Linked DNA regions of Schizosaccharomyces pombe. Changing the gene in region 1 together with any one later gene gives a genetic interaction. Each region holds a gene or a part of one and is shown in the gene's direction. Other genes may lie near its edges. The genes, in order: SPOM_SPAC24B11.07C and bag102.

Region 1 (5,247 bases):
ACTAATTCAATCCCTCTTTGCACCTCTGTCTATTAACCTACTTCTAGTCCTGCGCTTGGGTTGACCCTCAACGTATACTTTCCCCGACTACCTCAAGCCCCCTTAGTCAAGTTGTTTCGACAATTTCCAAATATTTCATTCTGGGAATGATCGTTTTTCAAGTTCAAGCACATTATTTTATATAAGATTTGGTGGTCAGCATTTCACAAAGCTCTAACATAACCGTGCATAGTTGGAACCACTGAGGTGGGCCCTTCTAATCCTTTAATCCAAAAAAAGTATTTTCAAGTTGGTTCAAAGAACTGCTTCTCCATATAATCGTTTTTTTCCTCTGTATTATTGTTACAAAAACGTATCTATCGACCGATAGTTTCAAAAAATGCAATTCCGTTCACCCCTTAGGCGTTTTGATGCCTTTCAAAAAACTGTCGAAGATGCTCGCATAAAAACTGCTAGTGGCGGTCTTATAACACTCGTTTCCGGACTTATTGTCATTTTTATTGTTCTCATGGAATGGATCAATTACAGGCGAGTCATCGCAGTCCATGAAATCATCGTCAATCCCTCACATGGCGATCGAATGGAAATCAATTTTAACATCACCTTCCCCCGTATCCCTTGTCAAATACTTACTGTCGATGTCTTGGATGTCAGTGGTGAATTCCAGCGTGACATCCACCATACCGTTTCTAAAACGAGGTTGAGCCCTTCGGGCGAAATTATAAGCGTTGATGATTTGGATATTGGAAATCAACAATCTATTTCTGACGACGGAGCCGCTGAATGTGGTGATTGTTATGGGGCAGCCGACTTTGCTCCTGAAGATACCCCAGGTTGTTGCAATACCTGTGATGCCGTTCGAGATGCGTACGGTAAGGCACACTGGCGAATTGGTGACGTTGATGCCTTTAAACAGTGTAAAGATGAAAACTTTAAGGAGCTTTATGAAGCTCAAAAGGTCGAAGGTTGTAACTTGGCTGGTCAGCTCTCCGTCAATCGAATGGCCGGTAATTTCCACATTGCTCCTGGACGATCTACTCAAAACGGAAATCAGCATGTTCATGATACACGTGACTACATTAATGAACTCGATTTGCATGACATGAGTCACTCCATCCATCATCTTAGTTTCGGCCCTCCTTTAGATGCGTCTGTCCACTATTCCAATCCTTTAGATGGAACAGTGAAAAAGGTAAGCACTGCCGATTATCGCTACGAATATTTTATTAAGTGCGTTTCCTACCAATTCATGCCTTTGTCTAAGAGCACACTTCCCATAGACACAAACAAATATGCTGTCACACAGCATGAACGTTCTATTCGTGGCGGTCGTGAAGAAAAAGTCCCTACCCATGTTAACTTTCATGGCGGAATCCCTGGTGTATGGTTTCAATTTGATATTAGTCCTATGCGTGTTATTGAACGTCAAGTACGTGGCAATACCTTTGGTGGATTTTTGAGTAATGTTTTAGCTTTGCTTGGGGGCTGCGTTACACTTGCTTCGTTTGTTGATAGAGGCTATTATGAGGTTCAAAAGTTAAAGAAAAATTGATCAGATTGTTTATGCACTAAATTTGTTTTGTTTTGTTTTTCGTTCTTTTCTTTTCTTCTGTTTGGTCCTATCGATCAATGTAAATACCATCGGTTTCCATGGCAAGTGCCTGATTTGTAACTTTAGATACTCTATTTCCTATACTATTCCAAATTGATACCACTTGATATTTCATGACTCGCTTATCAATCACAAATTGCTTTTAGCCTCGTTTAGCAAACAACCACTCGCTATATTCACATTGAAGAGCATACGAACCACGCACTTTCTTTCCCTACATCTCAATTCATTTCTTTTAATGTTAAACTCGTCTTCTTTCTAATTAAACATACAAAGATAAAGATCTTTCTATCTGGTGTATTCAATTTTACAAGGACATATAGTATTAGATATATTCGCTTTCCGAACCTAAAGTATTGTCTTGATTCTATAGCATTTTAAATAAAAAGGAAATTAAAATGAATTGAATTGTCTTAAAGTATTAATAAAAATAAGTATTATTTGTAGTACGAGTGATCAAAATTTTTTTAGTTTTTTTTTAGTGCACTCCAAGGAAGATCGTGCCAAGCGGAATGGTATGAGTTGTCATATCCATACACGCTCTTCTACCATAAGCATAACCCCGAGACCGACAATCATACGTCTTAGAAGCCACAAGGAAAACCGATCGTTTCCATTGGAAACCAATTTCCCTTTTCCAAATACATACATTTACAATTAGCGCTCTTTTGTACGGTGTGATCCTATAGAAACGGTTTCGAAAAATAGCAAACCACAATTTGCTGCTTTGGATAAATCACTTTTAGAAAAGCTTTCGATTTACGTGTGAAAACGGTTTTAGTATAGTCGTTATTAGAGCTGCATGGAATCGTGGAGTTTATTAAAGATTTAACAAACGAATTCAACTCGAAAAAAGAAATCCAAAACCAACGATTGAGTTTTTTTTTTAAAGTGTAAATATAATTTTTTTTTAAGAAGAGTCATTTTTAATTTGCTACTGAAATGACTGACGCAGGAAAAAAGGAGCGTGTCAGCATTTTGTGTGTTGGTAGCCCTTCCATCACGACTTTATTAGGTTGGAGGTTACAGCAAAGCTCAGTTGTGACATGCCAAGAAACTATAATGTTTTTCAATGCCCCCGAGCCTTCTACTAACGTCTTCACTATTCAATCGAAAAAATTCGGAACTCGTAAATACCGTCCGACGTATCGTTTATCTAAGCTTGAAGAGGTTACCTCTGATTCTGAGCCTTTCGATTATGTATTTGTTTCAATCAAACCTAATTCTCGCAATTTTCAATTGTCCAACATATTAGAACCGGTGATCACTGCTAAGCATACGTGTATTGTTTATAACTCTACTGGTGCCATTGGGGTTGAAGAAGCTTTGCAACGCCAATATCCTGAAAACCCTATCTTTTCTCTCATTACTCATACACCTGTATCTCAACGTTCTGTAGATGAATTTTTCTTTGGAGACTGCGCTCCGTTTTACTTAGCTCCTGCTGGTTCCAATCTCGAAATTGACCAGCTTTCCAGGTTGGTTGAGATTTTGGAAGGTGGAGAAATTTCATCTGAAATATTGGATACATTGCTTCCCTTGGAAATTGAGGACCTCGCTTTACCCCTCTCTCTTTATCCATTAACTGTACTCACGCAAAATCCCAATTTGCCCAAGCTCTTAGAACGTCCCGATATCAATGACTTGCACCAAGGTATATTACAAGAGCTTGATAGCTTGTGTAACTGCCTTGGATCCTCCTTGGATGTAAAAAAACTTTCCAAGCAACGCGAAACATTACTTTCGCATATGCAGGTGAATCCGGCTTTTAGAGAATATAGATCAAACCGCCCTGTTGAAATTGTACAGTATTTACATTATTGTATTGATTTAGCTACTAAACAATCCCTCCAAGTTCCTCGTTTACGAACAATAAGTGCATTAATTTCGAGTATTCAACACCTTCCTCTCGTTCAACCACATCACATGAATGATATGCATGGGCCCACGGACAATTCACCTAAGAAAAACAAAGTTTTGGTTAATATGCGGCCTATTAATCCATCATCCTTCGTTTCTGATCGACATTCACCTTTACACCCATATTCTGTTCCCGAAAATGGTAAGCCAAATATGGGCAGAATTCCTTCTGCTCCGTCCCTTTCAAAAGGACGAGCAATGACTGCTGACAATATGGATATGTTGTCTCTTACAACTCGTCGCTCTAGACGTTCTTTGTATTCTCCTTCTTTGATGCAAATGCAACAGTCTTTAAAGAGTGATTATGAGGGCTTGGGTCGAACTTTTGATCCGCGTTTTGCTCCTCGAGGTTCACCTCCTGTTCGTGGTGGAAAAAACGTGTTATCCCCTGAAGCTAAAGAGCATACGCACAAGAATATATCACCTGAGTCATCAAGATTTGGTACGCCAAGTGATCCTAATTCGTCTTCTCAATCACTTGGAAATGAAGTATTGTCAAGACCAAATTCCAACTCTAATTCTGCGGAATCGCGAAACGGTGAAACTGATGACAGTGGTGAATCCGAAACGTATTTTACTCTCATGAACAACAATAAGGGAGTAGAACCTCGAGCTTCTGTGGCTTCTGAGACATCGTCAATGACGGTTATACCTAATGCGATGCGTCGCTTTCCGCTAGCTCGTGGAACTTCTCGCATGAAATCGTAGACCTCTCTTTCGGAGCCACAGTTTTCCTCATTCCTTTATCATTATAAAAGCATTGTCGTGTTAAACTTTTATTGATTTGAATTCTACTGACTCATTATTAAGCATTCTTTTGGGGATCACGTTATGTTTTTTTATTTTCTTCCGAACAATTTGCGCTAAGAATAACGCGTTAGCACTCATCGTATTGGGTTCATTTGCATCAAATTTATGAAGGCATAATTTCATTCTTTTTAATCTGGTCTATATTTTAAAAGTACTCTGTTTTTACCCCGTTTGGTTATCTCCGCCATGGAAGCAATTTGGTATAAGTCTATCATATATGTATATATATAACTTTTATTACATTTTGCATGTATCTTTGGCGAAGAATTCCATATAATACGTATCTTTAGTCTATCTGCTCACTGAGCCGTATGGTAATTTCGGCATCACATTCTTTTTTTTTTCGATTTTCCCTTCTTTTAATTTTTGTCCTTTTATTGAATTGATTTTTTATTGAAACATACATTTAACGTAGTATTGTGTCCTATTTCCTCGTAGACTTTAAATGGTATTTGTCCAAACTTTTTTAATTAAAAATTTTTTAATAAAGTAAAAGGAAAATTGAAATGGAAAATGACTTGTTGCACCTAATTATCCTTGGTTATTTCGTCCCAAAATGTGGAAGGTACAGACCCGATTAATGCCTAATCGTGAAACCATAATATTAACAACTCGCTAAGAAATCAAAACGCGGACGCTGGGCTAATAGAGGCAAACAAGCAAATTAACTACGAAATCGAGCATTATGGATCAAATGAAATGTCAGATCTATAATTGAACGGGTTTTTCAACAGTAACTGTTGTCAAAAGACAAATTGGGTTAGCTTACAAGACTTTTTCCTTGAAACACACATTTCAATAATGAATACTAGCTCAAATAGCTAAAAAAGTTGATCTAATAAAGCTGGCTTAACAACTTTACCAACTAACCCATCTCAGATCTGGACAACAAAGCCTTGGTAAGA
Region 2 (4,218 bases), on another chromosome or scaffold:
CTTTTTGTCCTATAAGAGTATCTTCCCGGACGAGATGAGTCCTGTGATGCTTCCAATATTCTCCTTCGGCGCTCACTTCCAATGTCAAAGGTTCGAAAATTACTATTAAAAGATGATCTAGCTCCCTTGGCTGTTTCAGAGGGAGATCCTTCAATGCTAATATCCTCTGACGTTGAACCATTGGCACTTCTTTTTGGAGATTTAGACGCGCTTCTCTTTACATTAAACCCAGAAAACGTATTGGGAGAAAAAGACTTGTGGTAATTACTTGGAATATAAATACTACCTGCTGTAACAGGACGAGCATATCGATTTACGTATGCATCTCCGTCTGGATCTAGTACACTTGAACCAGTATCTTGCTTGCTGCTTGGCAATGGTAAAGAAAGACCTCGTTCAAAACTATCGGTATTATTTCTCCGGATAGCAGGAGTAGAAGGAGCACTTGTACCTACATTTCTATTATCGAATTGAAATCCGACGGTAGTGTTTGGTCGAGGTTTTTTTGATATCTAATCATTAATGCCAGCAAGCTGAACCCTTAACTAGTGAAAAGGGGGCAGCCCAAGCAACACTTGTTAGCAAATCATTATTTCAAACAGGCAAGATAGGGTAGTACTCGGAAAGAAAGGCTCCATTCAACAAATTGAACAGCTGCAATTTGCGTACAGGTGCAACTTTCATGTCTTACATAAAGAATAAGAGAAACTACCTCTGATCTTCTTAAAAAATTAGCATACCTCGGATGTCTCAGGTCTCCAAAAAGAAGGAATAGCAGGGCTTTCAGATAAAGCCGACATGCAATCAAATAAAAGAAAAAGATCAATTAGAGCCAAAAAAGAGAGTAAAAAGAATATCCAAAACTGGGAATTGGGAAACCGGTGTTTGGCTAACAATTAGTAGTACGCGGATCGCGACGCTAATTTCCTCAGTTGAGCTGGTATCGTGTTAAATATTTTGTAAAAGAATATTTCCCTCTTTTTAGTAATGTTCATGGAACAATTGGTGAAAAACATAATATTAAAAGGTCACAAGAAAATTTTTATAGCTAAAATATTCTTTTAAAAATAATTCGAGCAAGTTCTCAGGCAGGTGTAGGAAATAGATGGATATTTAATAGAAATTACCCTTGAGAGCAAATAGAGCTGATTCCTTTATCCATGTAAGATGGAAACATAACTTTTGACGTCCCCAAGAACATGCACTCTTAGATAGGTAAGCACATCAGTGATGGAGTAAGTGTTGATATATCCAGGTATTGCAGACGAGTAACAATAATGAAAGTTGAAATGGAGAATTGTTTACAGCATGATATCCTGTTCTTCAATTTTTATGCAATTTGAGTCCCCAACAATTGAATCGATCAAATGGGAGAACCCACTAAATTATTGAAGAGTATTTTGAAAAAATAGTTGAGGTATAAAATACCCAAGAATTCAACCATTAAACGATAAAATCAACCGAGAATGCGCTTTTGCTGATATGAATTTATATGAAACTTCTTCTTTGCTTTTCAGAATAAAGTTATACATACAAATAAACAATTATTTACGCCGAAAGCAATCAAAGATCCTTAGAGTATTACTTATTCTCTTAAAAAAAATTAGAGCATTACTACTTCTGGTTAAAGTCAGATTCACACTTTGTTCAATTATCAAACACATCCCATGGATTGCTTTTTTCGGTACCTTCCTTGTCAAAGAAACAAAAATTAAACTTAAAAAGAGAAAAAACAAGATCTTTACGAAACTGAATTAGTTTAATTTGATGCATGAACGTAAATGATAACTAGATATTTGAGGTCAACATGTCAGTCTACTGCAGCAGAAGTTTTAACAAAAACAAAAAGAATAAGATTTTGGCAACAAACAGCTTTTTTTTTTTTTAATTATCATTTTTCGGACTTATCATGTTTGTATAGGAGAAACTCACATTTCAAAGAATTCATAACACTATCATCTCCACAACCTACATAGTAACCACCAAATGCGAAATTGGTTCGAGAGCAACTCACCAATTTAAAACATCCTCTCTCTTATCTAGCAATTAAATTTTTATATACCAGTTCCTTCATTTACCAAGGAAATCTGATAAAGACCCAGACTTATTTAGTCTTGCTTATTGACCGGTTTATCACTTCTTCATTCATTTGACTTTAGGAAAAAGCATCGAGAAATCAACATGTCTTTTTTTACCCAGTTGTGTTCTATGGATAAAAAATATTGGATCTCTCTAGCTGTATTGTCAGTTACTGTTTTGATTAGCGCATTATTGAAAAAGAGAGCTACTGAAACCGAAGATATTGTCGTTGTTCATTACGATGGCGAAAAGTTGAATTTTGTGTTGCGACAACCAAGGCTGAATATGGTTTCTTACACTAGTTTTCTTCGTCGCGTGTGCAACGCATTTTCAGTAATGCCCGACAAAGCGTCTCTCAAGTTAAACGGGGTGACCCTCAAGGATGGTTCACTTTCCGACCAAAATGTGCAAAATGGAAGTGAATTAGAGCTCGAATTACCCAAACTGAGCCCGGCAATGCAACAAATTGAAGCATATATAGATGAGCTTCAACAGGATCTCGTCCCTAAAATTGAAGCCTTCTGCCAATCGTCTCCCGCTTCGGCACAAGATGTTCAAGATTTGCATACACGCCTTAGTGAAACATTGTTGGCTAGGATGATAAAATTAGATGCTGTTAATGTTGAAGACGACCCAGAAGCTCGTCTTAAAAGAAAAGAAGCTATTCGTTTATCTCAACAATATTTGAGTAAACTAGATTCCACCAAGAATCAAAACAAATGAAAAATGTGTTATAATTTAACAATTCTTAGTTGCTTGGGAGACGATGGTTCCGTCGGCTATGGTTTTTTGGATATGTAAAAACTGATTGACTAAACAACTCCTACAATATTTTTCCGTTTCTAACAACTTCTATACCAAGGTTCTGCAAACAACTTGTAGCACCCAATTTTAAGTTTTTATGCTGGCTTGAATTTTTGTTTTTCTTTTTTTGATACCGCTTGCTCCTCAACTATTAAACTGTTCTACTCTCAATTTATACATAATCTTTAAGCATTCATAATGCCATATTTTCTATTTTTGTCGTTACAACTGTTTTTTCTTACATTTGCTCAACTGCAGCCGTATCATTAATTTTTGTAAACATTCGTCATTGCTTTTTGTTTCTTCCGGAAGGTTGGATAGTCATAGTGTTACAAATTCAAAATACTTTTTCTTATGATAAATGGATTTCAAAACTGTATACCAATTCTAGCATATCAACTCCACATCCTTTACTTCCTTCGTAATCACTTAACAAAAACTCAACGTTCCAATGTTTTATACCATTAATATCGAAGAGTGAAATTTAGAACAGCTGGTTATTTTGAAATTTAAGAACCATGTCTATTTAAAACTAAGGTTAAAAGTATTTTATCATTATTATTTGACTTGACTGCATCGTCAATGTATTATGTAGACTTATTAAACGTTACTCAATATTTATGTAACATGTTTTCCCCTTTCCCATTTATAAATAGTTTAATTTCCTCAAATACTTTATACAGCCCTCCTGAAAAGTCATACATATATTAGCATTTGTCCACCAACATTCAATATATTTTTAATATTATATATCGGTATTTATCGGTGTATCAGAACACGAATAATATGCGTTGTAATTCGTAATAAATATTTACAACGTCTTGTGTGTCGTAATGTGAACAAGTGAGCATACTTCAAGTTCATTGTATGTTTCATATATGAACACAGAAATTACATGCTTTTTAAAAGCTGAAAATTTTAATCAGAGTATAATAAAATGGTAACTATTTTTGTTTTAAGACAAACATTAACCGTTAGACTGCCATTTTTAACTTTGAAAGTTTGCTTTTCGTTATACTATTAACGATCTGCACATGTACTTATTTACACCGTCAATTCCCTGCTTTATTAGAAAAAAGAAAAGAAGGGTAAGCCTAAATGATTATTAGATATATAATATTTTAGTTTTGAGGGATATGGAATTGCTAATAAGTTGACAGCGTGACAATGGTATTCTGGAAATGCGCTCGAATTGGTGAGCGAGCTAGTCCGGTGAGTTTTAGCTATTTCACTAGCTAATTATCCTTTTTAAAAAAGGCTAGATCTAACATCTATCTTTAGTATATATCACTATTTTGTGTTTTTATGGCTTTACGATTTATTTTCGGTTCCTCA

Evidence for each region.
Region 2: mutations in SPOM_SPAC24B11.07C (region 1) and bag102 together harm fitness less than expected from each alone (positive genetic interaction), as found in Schizosaccharomyces pombe (one study listed by BioGRID).

Annotation. Positions count from the first base shown.
Region 1 is NC_003424.3:208,339-213,585, reverse strand, and holds SPOM_SPAC24B11.07C (oxidoreductase), read left to right. Parts: upstream 1-2,162; 5' UTR 2,163-2,554; coding exon 2,555-4,240; 3' UTR 4,241-4,747; downstream 4,748-5,247. Other genes in the region: COPII-coated vesicle-associated protein Erv46, read left to right, coding at 380-1,552.
Region 2 is NC_003423.3:789,843-794,060, reverse strand, and holds bag102 (BAG family molecular chaperone regulator Bag102), read left to right. Parts: upstream 1-1,977; 5' UTR 1,978-2,181; coding exon 2,182-2,802; 3' UTR 2,803-3,397; downstream 3,398-4,218. Other genes in the region: Tea1-anchoring protein Mod5, read right to left, coding at 1-512, 741-800; protein ksh1, read left to right, coding at 3,821-3,823, 3,862-3,971, 4,044-4,095, 4,165-4,218. UniProt on the Schizosaccharomyces pombe protein: Inhibits the chaperone activity of HSP70/HSC70 by promoting substrate release.